Linked DNA regions of Oryctolagus cuniculus. The protein of the gene in region 4 purifies or fractionates together with the protein of the main gene of each other region. This does not show direct contact. Links are inferred from orthologs where the notes say so. Each region holds a gene or a part of one and is shown on either strand. Other genes may lie near its edges.

Evidence for each region.
Region 1: the proteins of STK11 (region 4) and FKBP5 purify together in Homo sapiens (affinity purification with mass spectrometry; 8 studies listed by BioGRID and IntAct, counting the BioPlex papers as one, with this or other methods). This does not show direct contact. The link is inferred for Oryctolagus cuniculus from reciprocal best matches to the Homo sapiens genes STK11 and FKBP5.
Region 2: the proteins of STK11 (region 4) and PIP4K2A purify together in Homo sapiens (affinity purification with mass spectrometry; 3 studies listed by BioGRID and IntAct, counting the BioPlex papers as one, with this or other methods). This does not show direct contact. The link is inferred for Oryctolagus cuniculus from reciprocal best matches to the Homo sapiens genes STK11 and PIP4K2A.
Region 3: the proteins of STK11 (region 4) and COPS4 purify together in Homo sapiens (affinity purification with mass spectrometry; 4 studies listed by BioGRID and IntAct, with this or other methods). This does not show direct contact. The link is inferred for Oryctolagus cuniculus from reciprocal best matches to the Homo sapiens genes STK11 and COPS4.

What each region holds. Positions count from the first base shown.
Region 1 is NC_091436.1:133,767,907-133,772,042, reverse strand, and holds the start of FKBP5 (peptidyl-prolyl cis-trans isomerase FKBP5), read right to left. Parts: upstream 2,810-4,136; 5' UTR 2,645-2,809; intron 1-2,644. UniProt on the Homo sapiens protein: Immunophilin protein with PPIase and co-chaperone activities. Component of unligated steroid receptors heterocomplexes through interaction with heat-shock protein 90 (HSP90).
Region 2 is NC_091444.1:48,771,984-48,775,543, reverse strand, and holds part of PIP4K2A (phosphatidylinositol 5-phosphate 4-kinase type-2 alpha), read left to right. Parts: intron 1-62; coding exon 63-306; intron 307-1,578; coding exon 1,579-1,682; intron 1,683-3,560. UniProt on the Homo sapiens protein: Catalyzes the phosphorylation of phosphatidylinositol 5-phosphate (PtdIns5P) on the fourth hydroxyl of the myo-inositol ring, to form phosphatidylinositol 4,5-bisphosphate (PtdIns(4,5)P2). Has both ATP- and GTP-dependent kinase activities.
Region 3 is NC_091439.1:82,801,219-82,804,778, forward strand, and holds part of COPS4 (COP9 signalosome complex subunit 4), read right to left. Parts: intron 2,339-3,560; coding exon 2,187-2,338; intron 1,272-2,186; coding exon 1,168-1,271; intron 1-1,167. UniProt on the Homo sapiens protein: Component of the COP9 signalosome complex (CSN), a complex involved in various cellular and developmental processes.
Region 4 is NC_091447.1:58,641,496-58,645,762, reverse strand, and holds the start of STK11 (serine/threonine-protein kinase STK11), read right to left. Parts: upstream 2,825-4,267; 5' UTR 1,907-2,824; coding exon 1,617-1,906; intron 1-1,616. UniProt on the Homo sapiens protein: Tumor suppressor serine/threonine-protein kinase that controls the activity of AMP-activated protein kinase (AMPK) family members, thereby playing a role in various processes such as cell metabolism, cell polarity, apoptosis and DNA damage response.

The DNA.
Region 1 (4,136 bases), on a different chromosome or scaffold from region 4:
CTGTCTTTTGGATTTAGCTAAAGTCCTTGTTTTTTTGTGAAGTTATTCACTTAAAAATATTTACCACTCGCACCACCAGCCCCCAATCAAAAGGAGCCGTACCTGAGGGTAACTGCTTAAAAAAAAAAAAAAAACCTGCCAGTGTTTATTGTGAGAATTCAGCTTGTGCTTAATTTTGAAGATAAAATGTGCTTGATAAATTAAAGTGAACAAAATTCAGTAGTTAAAATATGCAAAAACTGAATTTTAAAATAGGTTTTAATTTTAAGGTACGTTCATAATTAAAGTACCTAAAATATACTTTTGTGGAAACAAACTTACGAGACATAACTTGACGATATTTGGCATATTAAAGCACCATCACAGGATAAGGACAATCAACGCTCTAACAGCACAGCACTTAAATGTATTCCTTTACACTAAAGAGCAATTAAATAAATAACGAGAGACAATGAAAGCCCAAGTGTCATAAAGTCCTTTATAACTTTGTAAAGGCAAAACCCATTCTATGTGAGGACAAGCCACTGTTCTTTCTACCCTTCCTAAGCATCCGAAAGCCAGCTCAGCTTGTACAGCAATAACTTCTGCGGGTGTACAAAGAGGATGTTCTTCTCCGGACTAATCCATTCTAAGTAGAGAAGCCTGCAGGAAACTAAAAAGCCTGAAACATGGATTCTTTTTCCAATTCAAGAGTAAACAGAAAATTAAAGACTTAATTAGTTGCCTAATTCATTAAGTTTTTCATGTTGAACTGATAACAATTGTTTTAAAAAAAAGAAATGCACTCAAATTTCCCATAAATAAAAAAAGTTAAAGATTCCAAAAAACATACCTGTTTTACAAAATGCTGGAAAGACAAAGCCCTTACAACATACGTGGGAAGTTCAAAAAGTTCACGGAAAAGTGGAATTAAAAGATGAATTTATTTCAGTACAAAACATTCTGAAATCCAGACACAGTTTCTTCATAATATGCATTTCTGTGAACTTTTAAAGACCCCCGTTATCTAAGTTTATTGCTTCAGAGAAATAAAACAATTTATAAAGATCATCTTTATTTTTTTTTTACACTGAAGTAGTCACAACTTTGGCTGAAGAGTTCTGACCTCTTATTAACTGTTACATAATTCTAATTAGCAAGGTAAATAAGCAAATTAAATCAAAGTTAATAACGCTGCTCCTAGGCAGTCAAACATATCCACTATGTGCATCAAACAAGACGCTTTAAAACATAAAAACCGAGCACACCAGATCCCGTGTGTCTCACAAGTGACCTAATTTTAGAAATACAATTGTATAGCATGCCCAGGTTGGTCAGGGCTAAGTGTGGCGGGTTAGGCAGGGGTCGGGAGGCAGACACACAAACGGAAACGCTAAGGGAAAGTACGACAGGACAAAAAGCTCCCACCAGGGTAAGGCCTTTTTTCAGGTCGACCCTTGGAGTTTGACTCCCATCCCGAGAGAGGCAGCTCCTCTGACTCTCTAAAGCAAAGACCCCCAACGCGGGGGCAGGGGGGCTGCAAACCCCTACCCCGAATCCGCCCTAACTCTTCCCGGGTCCCCCATCGAACAAGGCGGGGAGACAATGAAAGCAAACAGTCCAGGTCAGAGAGCGAAGAAAGCTCCCATTCAGAGCTACGCCTCACTCCCCTGGAAAGCACAGCCCAGAAAGCGAATCCAAAACCACGGACTGCACGGCGGCCCGCGGAGGGCAGCGGGGCTCTGCGCGCTCCCCTTCCAGGCTGTACCTGCCCGAGCCGTCGCCGCCGCCGCCGAAGCCGCCCCGCACAGGGCGGCTGCGCCCGGAGCAGGCAGCCTGCAGCGCCCGGGTCCTGCACGCGGCTTCTGCAAGCCGTCCGGGGCGCACGCCTCCCGGGACGGCCGGCAAGGCGGGCGGACGGAGCCGCAAGCGTCCCAGGACCCACCCCGGCCGCAACTCTCGGCCCGCACCGCAGAGTGCGGGTCACCTGTGAGCGCGGCGCGGCGCCCGCACCCCGCCGAGGGGCCGTGCGGCTCCCAGGCACGAGCGCCAGGGCGGCAGGTGACGGCGGGGCACGCCCGCGTCCACACCCAGCGGGCGGCCACCCCGCGCGCGGCCGGGGCGCTCCGTTATCCTCGCCCTCCGCGGGCCCGCCAGGTGAGCGAGTCTCCATCGCGCCCGCGGCGTCCTGGCGCTCGTCTCAGCCCCGGGCTCCAGGCCTCCGGCCGCCCCGGTCCCGGAAGGCCAAGTTGCGCTCCGGCCCGCGGCTGCGGCTGCTCGGGCGCCGCCCGGCTTCTCCGAGGGTCCCGCAGCGCCGGGCCTCGGGCGAGTCCGGGTCCGCCGACGACAGCCGGAGCCGGGACCTGTCACCCCGGGCGGGAAACAAAAGCCGAGTGAGGGCGAGCGGGCGCGACCGGGAGGGGGAGCGCGGCGCGGGCGGAGAGCGGCTCCCGCGGCCCCCCGGAGGGAGCCTCGGCCCGGCGGCCCCCGCAGTCGGGCTGGGAGCCCCCCGGGCGCTCACCTCGTGGACTTGCAGCCCCTCGCGCCACTCCCTCCCGGGCTGGGGAGCCGCGTGAGGGGCAGCGGCAGAACCTGAAAAGAGAGAATTGGGCTCTCGGGACCCCGCGGCCGCCCCACCTCATCCCTGCGGCCATGGCGCCGGTACCTGTCTCCACAGTGCCTGGCCAGCTCCTGCTCTCTCCGCCTCGCCCGCGCGCCGCTCGCCCCTCAGCCCGCCCAGCAGGCAGCCCGCGCGCCGGACACCGCAGTCCGAGACTGGCAGCGCCCGCGAGCCGGCCCGAATCCCCAGGGCAGCGCCCGGCATGGTCCCGCCCCCGCCGGCCGCAGGACCCCCCTTCCATAGGGCCCCGGGGCTGTCAGTCCGCCCCCAAAAGGCGCGCGGGCTGTCGCTCCGCGTGTCCGGATTGGTGGCCGCGCGCGGTCCATGCAAATAAGGCCCCGCCCACGTTTATTTGCATCTCCGCCCCCCCACACTAGCCCACGTGTCTGGCCCTTGCCCTTTGTGGGGGCTGGAGAAAATGGATGGAGGAAGCTGACCGACACCCCCTCACATCAGCCCTTCCCTCCACAGAAACTAACGCCCAAGCAAGATCGTTGACCCCACTGCCGTACCGTGTCTGTCTGTCCTGCGGGCCTGGTCTGTGGCGGGAGAGGGGTCAGGTCGGGCTGTTTGCGTTAGATTAGCAGTCCAGGTTAGCTCCAGGACACTAACTCGGGAAGCTAGAGATGCTAGGTCGGACCCGAGAACATCCCGCCTCAAGAACCAGGTGAGCACGCGGCACCTCCCTTGGATACCCAGGGACCGTGAGAACCCTGCGGCCCCCACGCTGTCCCCCCCCGGGGGGGGGGGTGCAGGGGCGGCGGGGGGCCTTAGGGAATCTTTAGCTCAGCCCCATCATTTTTGAAGAAACAGAAACCTGAAGTCTCAAACTGGGGACCTATGGGACATGATAGTTGCCTATGGTAATCTGATGTCCCCTAATCAGATTAGAACCCGTGTCTCCTGGCTTTGCACACTGTCACACTGAAGTCTTTGTAAAAGGCCCTTCCCATAAACCAGTCACCATGCTGCCTGGTGCTTCAAGATTTGGAGGTGGGTAGAAAGTTGGTGGCATTTGGCGGAGAGGTTAAGGCACCAGGTCCCCCAGGAGTGGTAGGATCCATACCTGGCAAGGGCTTCCCTCCCAATTCCAGCTTCCTGCTAATACAGACCTTGGGAGGCAGCAGCAATGATGGCTTAAGGGGTTGGGTCCTCGACACTCACCTGGAAGACCTACTTTCAGTTCCTGGTCCAGGAATGTACTGGCTTGCTCTCTCTTTCTCTCCCTGCCTCCCTCCCTCTCCAATAAATAGAAATAAAAAGTGATATCTGTAGAAAAGGCAAATAGAGTCAACCCTGAGACCTCCTCAAGGATCCTTATCTCAGTCATTGGTCCTCAGTGTCTAGAAGCGTCTCTTTTTTGCCAGGGAGAGTCACTGAAACCATTTATTCATGCATTAATTCAGATAGTGTCGATCAAAACTACTCTGCATATTAACACTGATTCAGCAGGCATCTACCATGCTTAAAAAACAGCAAGTATTCAGCACCATGCTATGTGCTGGCTATGCAGCAGTGAGGAGGAATTGCCTCAGCT
Region 2 (3,560 bases), on a different chromosome or scaffold from region 4:
CTGAGCTTGCAAATCTCCTTTTTTGTGTAAGGTGTAACTGATCATGTCGCCTCCCCCTCCAGTTTCTTGCCCAGTTGAAGCTCATGGACTACAGCTTACTGGTGGGAATTCACGATGTGGAGAGAGCCGAGCAAGAAGAGGTGGAGTGTGAGGAGAATGACGGGGAGGAGGAGGGGGAGAGCGACGGCACCCACCCAGTCGGGACCCCTCCGGATAGCCCCGGAAACACGTTGAACAGCTCACCGCCCTTGGCTCCGGGGGAGTTTGATCCGAACATTGATGTTTATGGAATTAAATGCCATGAAAGTAAGCTTAGTTACCATTGCCTCTTGTTTACATCTGAAGCAGTTTGGTTTTTGCATTGTCGTCTACCAGTAATGAACCCTAGTACAGGTGTGTTGTCCTGCAAGACTCATTCTCCGGAGTCCAGGTAAACGCACAGGGTCAGAGCGGGTTCAAGGTAACTATAAGCTCGGGTTTTAGATGTAATGGGAGCAGGTCCTTGGGTAGGGGGCTGTTGAGGGACTGGAGCAAAACCACGAGTCATCTTGTGTATCCCACATATACCTATAGATGCACCTCTATAGAGAACATATATAAGAACTGGTTTAAGTATTTTTTCCTTAGCTGTCTTCTTTCTTATCTAAGGCTAAAGCACCACACATCTGTCCTGAGGTAGGCACGGGTGTGTGGTCTACTGTGACCCTCAGGGAGGCATATCATCACCAAACACCCCTCCTTCTCTGTGCCAAGGCCAGCCTGTGGACGGGGCGAGAGCCCTAAAGGGGGCTCTGAGCTTCTCTAGGGTCAGAACCATTGTTCTTAGTCCTCAACACAATATAAAAATGACCGGGCATTTGAAGGAATATCCCATTCTACCTTAGCTACTTACCCATAAAAAAATATTTTAGTGATTTGATAAATGCAGCCTCTCATTTTCTGAATAATAGTGTGGTTCATTGATTTTTTTTTCTTAAAAAAAAAAAAACACAGATGGCATCTCACCCAAATGGGTTTGAGTTATGTTTTGTTCTATTCTTATTTTGCTCACCAAAATTGTTTCTTTAACACAGAAAACTAGATGTAGTCAAATGTGCTGTCCTTTCTATTCAGAATTGAAGCAACATCATATTTTTGGGACTAAGTAGATATTGGGGTGCTCTGTGCCTTTATCCAGTTCTGATACTGCATCCAGTGAGAACTGCTTACCAACACTGCAGCTTATGGTAAAGAAAGGATTAATGAACACAGTTAGTTACACTTGTTTCCTAAGTATTTTTAAGATAGCATTCCTCTTTACACAGTCATTCAAGAAAATGCAGATTATCAAAAAGTAAAAATAAAAGCATTCAGTTGCACCCTTGGAGCTCCAGTGTTCATATCCTGGGGTTATGGTAGGTTTTTTCACTTGTTATTTTGAAAGCACATTGGGTAGAGTCCCCAGGGCTGGGAGGAGCACGCAGGAGTCCCTTGGAGTTTGTCCCCAGGCTGCTTCAGCCCCAGGCTCCTCTCCTTCCCTGCACAGTGCTTGTGTCTCCCTCCCGGTGACGTCATTCACTTGCTCTCATCCCTTTGCAGACTCGCCTAGGAAGGAGGTGTACTTCATGGCAATTATTGACATTCTCACTCATTATGATGCAAAAAAGAAAGCTGCCCACGCTGCAAAAACTGTGAAGCACGGCGTAAGTACACGCTCCCGATTCTCCCTCGGGGTCCTCAGCGTGGCCGGGAGCCGAGACCACTCCTTTCTCCTGCGGGCTCCTCCTCTCTGCGGGCGCTGTTCAGAGCCCTTTAGTGGAGCGCGCTGCCTGTGGGGGGCCGTGTTCTCATGCAAATGCCAGCGGCTAAAGCCCGGCCCTCCCAGGGACTTGGTAGGGCTCCTGGCAAGTCCGCGCCTCTTCTGACACACAGAGGACGTGTACAGCCACAGGCCTCCCTAGGAACTGACAAATTCTTTTGTGTTTGGAAAGTGTTCTGAAGATTAAAGTGCTGAAGTTGGTGGTTTTAATGCAGAGTGCTCCGAATTGAAGCACAGTTCTCTGCTTAAGGCGCTTCCAAAGTATGCAAGATTAGATTTCTTCTCTCGTGGTGGGCTGTATTTTTTCTGTCACAGCAGCCATGTGAGTGCAGGGTCCAAGTTTCCCCATGGTCATTCTTGGCCTTTATTGTGCCTGCTCAGAATTGGCACGGTGCTGGGCAGCAGGTACCCTGCTGACCCCTTGCGAGGGGATGCTAGTGGGTCCCCTCTGTCAGCTGAAGGAACGGAAGCAGACAGCTTCAGGGGTGACAACAAGAGCCCCTCGCTAGGCAGGGGCACAGCAGGGCTTCCTCTGCAGAGTCTAGCAGGGTCACCCGCCCTGTGTTCCTGCCCTGCCCTGCCCTGCCCATGCAGCCCCACTGCCTGGCTACACGCCATTCTGGCTTGTAGCGTGGGGCTCCACTTGTGGCTCTCCAAGTGGACTGAAAAGCCACAGAGCCCCATCCCTCGCAGTCGGACTTGTGCTGCCTGTGCCCGCTGGCAGGTGCCTCCCACAGAGCGCTGGCCAGAGCTAACCAACTCAGCTAAAGGCTCTTTTTCTCTATTTGAAACTCAAACGGGCTGCCATCCCGGAAGTGGATTCAGCCTGAAACCATATTCTGTTTGCCAAAGAAACAGCTCAGCCACAGGCTCCTGCTGTGCGCAGAGCACAGCCGCAGACCCTGCCTGGCCCAGAGAGCGCCTCAGCAAGACAAGGTCACAGGGGCAGCGTCCTAGCGCCATTCCTAAGTGCACCTGCGCCACAGGCACAGCCACTCTCCCTGCTTAGAGTCCCGCTCAGGGGAGTGAGGCAGGGGACTCCAGAGGCCCCATGGGTTGAAAGCCATGGGGGAGACTGCACACACAGACCTGGGGCGGAGTCTCCGCCTCCTTCCTGCTTGTGTGAACTAAAGGAAATACTTTTTGAGGTTGCTCTAACAGCCCAGGCCTGGAAATAACGAGAGCCCCCATGAATGTGGGCATCCAAAAATAGCCCCTGGCGACTTAGTAAAAATCTAGTCTTTGCCCCTTGCAGCTTAGGACACTGCAGAAACTGCAGAGCACCGGCCAGCACTGTGCAGGTAATAACAGCACCCCCCACTGGGCCTCTGCAGAGCCCCGTCCGTGCTCCGTGCAGGTCTCTGCGGAGGAGCGGTGGCACCAAGGGCCCTCAGCTCTCGGGAGGTGCAGCAGCATCTTAAGTCCTGAAGTCACATCATGGAAGGTCTTGCTTTCACCAGAACTTACGTGTGTGTCACCCTCAAGTGTCCACGGTCTGCTGCCTTGAAATGCAAAGCTGTTGTCCCATGGCTTTAGAATGTAAACCCCACAGATCCTCCTGGTTGGTAGGAATGTCCCAAACAGGGATGATGGGATTTTTTTAAAGATTTATGTATTTGAAAAGCAGAGGTACAGAGAGAGAGAGAGAGAATCCATCTTCATCCGCTGGTTCACTCCCCAAATGACTGCAATGGCTGGGGCTGGGCGAGTCTGAAGCCAGGAGCTTCTTCTGGGTCTCCCACATGGGTGCAGGGGCCCAAGG
Region 3 (3,560 bases), on a different chromosome or scaffold from region 4:
CTGGCCTGAAAGCACCGGCATCTCATATGGACGCTGGTTCTAGTCCCGGCTGCTCCTCTTCTGGTCCAGCTCTCTGCTATGGCCTGGGAAAGCAGTAGAACACGGCCCGAGTCCTTGGGCCCCTGCACCCACGTGGGAGATCCAGAAGAAGCTCTTAGCTCCTGGCTTCGGATTGGCGCAGCCCTGGCCATTGCAGCCATCTGGGGAGTGAACCAGCGGGTGGAAGACCTCTCTCTCTGTTTCTACCTCTCTCTGTAATTCTTTCAAATAAATAAAATAAATCTTTAAAAATAAAAGAAGAAGATGGCAGAAATACTTGGGTCTCTGCACCCACATGGGATACTGGAAGAAGCTCCTGGCTCCTGGCTTCAGATAGGCTCAGCTCCAGCCACTGTGGCCATTTGGGAAGTGAACCAGCAGATGGAAGATCAATCTCTCTCTCTCTAACTCTGCCTTTCAAATAAATAAATACATCTTTAAAAAAGATTTATTTTATTTGCAAGTCAGAGTTACAGAGAAAAAGGGAGAGACAGAATCTTCCATCCACTGGCTTACTCCCCTAATGGACACATTGGCTGGAGCTGGGCCAGGCCAAAGCCAGGAGACAGAAGCCTCTTCTGGATTTCCCACGTGGGTACAGAGGCTCAAGCACTTGGACCATCTTCTACTGCTTTCCCAGGCACATTAGCAGAGAGCTGGAATAGAAGTGGAACAGCCAGGACTTGAACCAAACCCAGATGGGATGTGGCACCACAAGCGGTGGCTTAAGCCACTACATCACAGTGCCAGCCCCTTCCTTATTCTTCTTGAAAATACATGTTCCCATCTTAGGGCCTTTGCATTAACCATCTCTCTGAGTAGCCAGTGATGTGCTTCCCTCAAATAGCTCTAATCCACTACCCTCTCTCCTTCAAATCTTTGGGAAAGTGACATCAGGACCACCCTACTACCCAATTTAATGATATATACAATCTGTCCCCTCTTTTCCCCTTACTTTTCTCTGTAAGTAAGCATTTATCTTTTAACATACTACAAAATTTACTTATAACTTGTTTATCTCTTTCCTGTATTAGAATGTAAGAAAAAAATGTAGGTAAATAATTATATATCCTATATGTGTGTATGTATATGTATATATATTCATTCAATATCCACTATTTACTATACTTTTGTCCTGTTTCCAAAGGAATTCCCACCAACACTTGGGCTGCATTTCTCCAATCTTCTTCTTTCTCATATATAGATGCAAGATGCTGCCTTATGGAAGCAACCTGAAATAGAAGGTATACATGTTAAATTACTTCAACCATAACTCATTAGTCAATTAAAATAAATAGATGATAAACTAATCCATTTTGACAATGCTCTTATTCAACATACAGGGTGGCAAATCAAAGTTTATCTAGACCACCCAAATTTTTCTATGAATTTCGCATTCACATAATATCAAAGCAGTGAAATGAAACAATGCATTTCTGCAATGTGAGTTATGGTAATATTTTAGTTTAAATGTTAAAATTTGCTTTTATGTCTCTGCATATAGGATGTTGAAGTTTCCCGTGTGTAGTCTAATAACAATTTTTTATACTGACTTTTTAAAACTGTTTAAAGAGTAATATTTGACTGGTAAGATCAAATTTTAATATATGGGCAAATGTCAGGTGGAATTGCAAACATTCTAATATTTATTAGATTTTACACTGTAAAATGGTGGTAGACAGGACTAGCACTGTTAGCACAGTGAGTGAAGCCACTGCTTGTGATGCCAGCATCCAATATGGGTTCTGGTTCATGTCCCGGTTGCTCTACTTCCAATCCAACTCCCTACTAATGTACTTAGGAAAGCAGTAGAAGATAGCCTAAGTGCTTGGGACTCTGCACCCATGTGAGAGATCCAGATGAAGCTCCTGGCTCCTGGCCTCAGCCAGGCCCAGCCCTGGCCATTGCAGCCATTTGAGGAGTGAACCAGCAGATGGAAGATCTCTCCCTGTCTCTCCCTTTCTCTCTCTGTAACTCTGCCTTTCAAACAAATAAAATAAATCTTTAAAAGCAAAAAACGCTGGTTGAGATTCTATTTCATCAAATATCAAATTGCACAATTATCTCCATTAGGAATTTAATAGCATCAGATTCTCAAAGCAACTGCCGCTATCTCAAATTCAAAAACTGTTGTTCTAGATTCTTACCTGCTCCTCAAATGAAATGACTCTAGGCTGGATCTTTTCCAAGGTAAAGTGATAGATTTCTTTGGCTGTGCTATCAGGCAGGTTAGGCAGATGTGTGCAAAAATCAGTCAGCAACTGTCGTGAGATCACAAGACTGACATTCTCATTTACCACTGTTTAAAAAGAAAGAGATAAGAAAACATGAGTAATTTATAAATTTTCATTAAGCAATCAACCCTTACCTAAAATTAATAATGAAAACATATCTGTATTAGTGTAACCTTCAATGTGTTATTCCAGGAATTCCATACCCTAATCATCTTATACTGTAACATGTCACAAATCAAGTTTCCTTACACTGAATTACTTGATTTTTTTCTGACTATACTGAAACAGTAAAGATATCATAACTTCTCTAAGCAAAAGAAATGTCAGGGAAAAGGTTTTATTTAATAACTGAGACTTTTATACCATTCCTTTCTCTTAATTTTCTATAATATTAAGGCACAGAAACACCTACATCTTTTTTTATATGCTGACCCCCCATCCAGTTCCAAAAAAGAGTAAAAGAAGAAAACAGTGATATAATTTTCATGAAATTTAAATGAAGCAAATGCTGCGAGCACACTTAGTGTCATTTGTATTTTCCTAATAAAAGCAACACATAAGGAGGCACACAGCAGTTAAGTTGCTGCTTGGGAAACCTCCATCCCATATGGATGCTTGGTTTGAATCCCAGCTACTCCCTTACTCCCTCCCTCCCTCCTTTCTTTCTTTCTTTTTTTGACAGGCAGAGTTAGACAGTGAGAGAGAGAGAGAGACAGAGAGAAAGGTCTTCCTTTTTCTGTTGGTTCACCCCCGAAGTGGCCGCTACAGCCGGCACGTTGCAGCCGGTGCACTGTGCCGATCCGAAGCTAGGAGCCAGGTGCTTCCTCCTGATCTCCCATGCGGGTGCAGGGCCCAAGGACCTGGGCCATCCTCCACTGCCTTCCCTGGCCACAGCAGAGAGCTAGACTGGAAGAGGAGTGACCGGGACAGAATCCGGCGCCCCAACCGGGACTACAACCTGGGGTGCCGGCACCGCAGGCAGAGGATTAGGTGCAGCGCAGGCCACTACTCCATTTCTGATTCAACTTCCTGCTAATGCACATTCTGGGAGGCAGATCATGGCTCAAGTACTTGTGTCTCTACCACCCACATGGGAAATCTGGATTGAGTTCTAGGCTCCTGGCCTATCTGGTTTAACCCAGGCTGTTATGGGCATCTGGGAAGTCCACCAGCATTGGAAGATCTCTGTCTGTCTGTCTCTGCATTTGAAAAATAAAGAAAAAAAATTTTAAAAAAAATTTTAAAACAATCAATATCAACTTTAATCAATACTAGATATAGTAACAT
Region 4 (4,267 bases):
CACCCGCTCCAGGCGCAGGGCCGCAAGGCGGACCCCCGAGGCCTGAGCTGTCCAGCGCCCCGGCGGCAGGCAGCTGGCCACGCCGCCCAGACACAGGGGGCGAGAGGCAGCGGCCGGGGGTGGGGAGGGGGCTGCCCGGCCCTGCACTCAGCTCAGCTCTGCCATGAGCCCTGGCAGAGCCCAGCCCGCGGCGCGCGGCCTCCGGTCAGCCAGAGGACACTCAGGAGCCCCGGGATGGGACGAGGCCGGGGTGCACGGAGGGTGGGCGCCAGCTGCGCCCCACGTGGCCCTCTCCCCTCGCTAACTCCCCAGCCTCTCACCTCCCAGATCCGAGGGTCTGCCAATTGGCCCGGAAGGTTCCGGCCTCCCCAGGCCACGTCACCAACGTGCGTCCCGGCGGCCAGCAGGGACGAGGCACCGAAACCCGCCCGGCTGAGCGGGACACCTGCCGCTGCCCCGCCAGGGCCCTCGGCGCACCGGTGCCGCCCCTCACCGCCAAGGACACGGCGGCCGGGAACCCAGGAGCCCACGGCCACCAGGGCTGTCCCGGGGACAGCACAGAGCAGGGCGAGGCTGGGGGCACGAAGAGCCTGGCTTCCCCGCCCGCGTCCGCCAGGAGGGACAGGACGCGACGGCCCTCAGAGGCCCAGCTGTAACTCCCAGCGCCTCCCGGCTGACGGGGACTCCCTTCCCGGGAGCCCTGTGCCCACCCCGACGGCCCCCTGGGAGGAGCTCTGGGCACAGGCGCGGCCCGAGCCCTCCACGCCGGGCCGCGGCCCAGTTCATCAAGCTGCCCACGCACAAAGGGCCTTTTTCGCGAGGCCAGCTGGCAGGGAGGCCGGCGGGGAGCCCGGCGGGCTTGTGGGGGCAGCCCTCGCCTCCCAGGGCCTGGGCACGCGCCGGCCCCGGTCCCAGCCCGTCAGGGAGCGCTCCGGAAGCCGGCCCGGGGCGGCGGGAGCCCCCGGGGAGCTGCTGCTGGACGCGGGACCCTGGCCCCCCCCCCTCGGCGCCCACCCCAGCCTGGCTCCCGCGGACCGGACACCTGTGCCCCACGCAGGCGCCGGGCTTCCCTCCAGCTTCCTGCCAACGCCGCCACGGGGGACGCGGACGCGGGCAGGGAGGGGCACGGAGCTCCCTCTGCCTCCCCAGCCCCAGGCTGGGCGCCCGCCGGTCTCGCCCACAGCACCGTCTCTCCCCCGTACACCCAGCCCGCCCCCGGCCCGGCCCGGGCCTCGGGCATTTCCCACTGGAACCCGGGTCAGCGCCCTCGCCCAGGGGCAGAGGTGGGTGCCGGGCCCTCAGCCTGCGCCCACCCGGGGAGTGGCCACCCCAGCAGGGGCTGAGCCCGCGGGCAGGGGGGAGCGCTTCCCGGGGCCCTCGCGGGGCCAGCAGACCATTAAACCAGCCTGCTCCGGGCGGGGGGGGGGCCCAGGGCTCGGGGCGGGCACCTGCTGCCCCGCGGACCTCAGCCGGGCCGCTGCCCACGGCGCCCCCGCGGACGCTGTCCAAGGTCACGGCCACCGGGCCCCTCAGATAAGGGCCTTTCCTGGAAGCCGGTGCAGGCCGGGGCGCGATAAGGGGCCCCGCCCGCCCGCCCGCCGCGGGGGGGCACTCACTTCCGCACGTTGGCCTCGCCGTTGGGGATCCGCCGCAGCTTCTTCTTCTTGAGGATCTTGACGGCGCGGCGGCACAGCGTCTCCGAGTCCAACACCTCCTTCACCTTCCCGTAGGAGCCCTCGCCCAGCAGGTCCCCCATCAGGTACTTGCCGATGAGCTTGGCGCGCTTGCGCCGCGGCTGGTAGATGACCTCGGTGGAGTCGATGCGGTGGATGAAGGTGTCCATGCCCACGGCCATCAGCTCGTCCTCGGGGAACAGGCCCAGCGGCGGCGGCTCGGCCACATCCATGCTGCGCCCGGGCGCCCCGCTAGTCCCGGCGCCCCGCCTCCCCGACTTCAAACACACCAACAGGAAAGAGACAAAAAGGAAGAAAGCCACGCAGGCCTCGGCCACGAACAGCCTCCTCCCGACACACGCGAGCGTCCCGCCCGGCAGTCCGCGCTGCGAGCCCCCTCCCCGGGAGGAGGGGGTCTCAGGGCCTGGGGGCGGCCCGGGCCGGCTCAGCTCGTCCGCGGGGGCCCTGGGCAGGCCGGCGGGGCCCGCGGCGCCCGCTCATCCTCCGGGGGGCTCAGGCGCGCGGACCAGCGCTCCGGCGGCCGCGACCCGGCTCCCCCGGGCCGTCCATGCCCGCGGGCAGCCGCCGACGGGGGTCCGCGCCGCTCGCCGCCCCGGGAGCCCCCCACACCCGGGGCCACAAAACTTTGCTGGGAGCCCCTCGGGCGCCGCCCCGCGGTCCCGCCGCCTCAGCCGAGCGCTCGGAGGCCGCGCCCGCGGTTGGGGCTGGGGGCTTCCCCGGACGCGGTCAGGCGCACGCTCGGCGCCGGCCGCTCGCCGCCCCCAACCCCCCAGCCGGCCCGCGACCTCCGGCCGGACGCCCCGAGCGCTCCAACGGCGGCCCGGGCTCGCTCCCGCTCCCGAGCGCCGTCAGCGGCCGGCCCCGACGCGCGGCCGACGCTCCGCGGGCTCCGGGCGGCCCAGGCCGCAGGCTCCGGGCCGGGGAGTGCCCGAGGCTGCCGAAGTCCGGCCGGTGCGTCCCCCTCGCCGCGGCCGCCGCGCGCGTGCAGGAGGCGGAGCGGCGAGGGGGGCCCAGCCCATCCAAGGCCGCCCGCGCTGCCGCCGGCGCCGCCCTCCGCCGCCCCGCGACTCACTCGCGGGCGCCCCGGGCCGCCTCCCCCTTCCGCGCCCGATACGCCGCCGCCATCTTGTTTACCTCCCTCCCCCTCCCTGCGCCGCCGCCGCCGCCGCACGCCCGACCGCAGGGCACGCCCCCTCGCGGCGCCGACGTGCCCGCCCGTTGGTGGAGCCGGAAGGCCCCGCCTCGCGACACGCTTGGCCGCCGCCGCCGATTGGGCCGTTTGGACCCGGCCGGGCGGTCGCGCGGGGATTGGTCCGCACTCGGCCCCGCCTCGAGGGGTGGGGACGCCTCGTTCATTGGCCTGCGGGCGCGCCCGTCACGGCGACGGGGCGGGAAGCGGGCGTGGGGACGCGAGGCCGCGGCGGTGACCTCGGAGGGGTTGGGGCCCGGGGTCGGGGGTCGCGGGTCCCAACGGCCGCCCCGGAACGGCCGCGGGCTCCCCCGGTCGTGGGCCGGCACCGCGGCTCGGGGCTCCAGAGGTCGGGGGAAGCCTGCCGGGGCCGCTTCCTGCTTCCCTCGTTGGGCCGAGGTCAGAGGTCACAAAGTGACCTAAAGTGACCAGTTCGGGGCGGAAATCCCTGAGGCGCCGCCGGGGCCGGGCCGGGGCCGCGGGCGGGGCGGAAGCAGAGGGGAGACGCCCGGGACGCGCGGGCCCAGGCCGCAGGTGTCCCTGTCGGCCCCGGGCGCCCGCGGGGCCTCGGCCCCACTCAGGACGGAACCGCGCGTGCGCCTCAGGCCGTTTTCGCCCCTAATTCCACTTTAAAGAAAGGTTTATCGAGGCCGGCGCCGTGGCGTGGGGGTGCAATCACGGCCTGCAGCGCCCCCAGCCTTCACGGGCGCCGGTTCGAGTCCCGGCCGCCCCACTTCCGGTCATCGGTGCCGGACAGGTGCTTGGGCCCCGCACCACGCGAGAGACCCGGGCAGGGGGGGCTCGTGGGCCTCCAGCCTCGCCCAGACATTGGGGGATCGAACCAGCAGATGGAAGACCCCTTCTCTCTATGCCTTTCAAATAAATCTCTAAAATAAAAAAGAAACGCGTATTTAGTTGAAAGTGAGGATGGGGGTGCCGTCCATTGCTGGCTCAAGGACTCGGGTCATCGTCCGCTGCTTTCCCAGGCCACAGCAGGGAGCTGGACCGGAAGTAGAGCAGCTGGGACTCGAACCGGCGTCCACATGGGATGTTGGCACTGCAGGCCGGGGCTTTATCCGCTGCGCCACAGGGGAACCGGCCCCTGAATTAAGCTTCTTTTAAAAAAAAAAGGCAGCGAGGGGTCGCTGGGGTCACCGGGGAGGGCCCAGCGCTGCAGTGGCCGCCCACCGGGGACCCAAGCCACATCTCAGTCGAGGCCGGGAAGGGGCAGTCGGCCCAGCAGCACACGCCCCCACCCCACGTGGGAGACCCGGGGCAGCTCCAGGCTCCCGGCCCCGGCCGTGGTGGGCGTCTGGGGGGTGACCCAGCCGGTGGACGAAGTCCCTCTGTGTACCTGCCTTTCACTCCCCCTGCCCACCAGGAC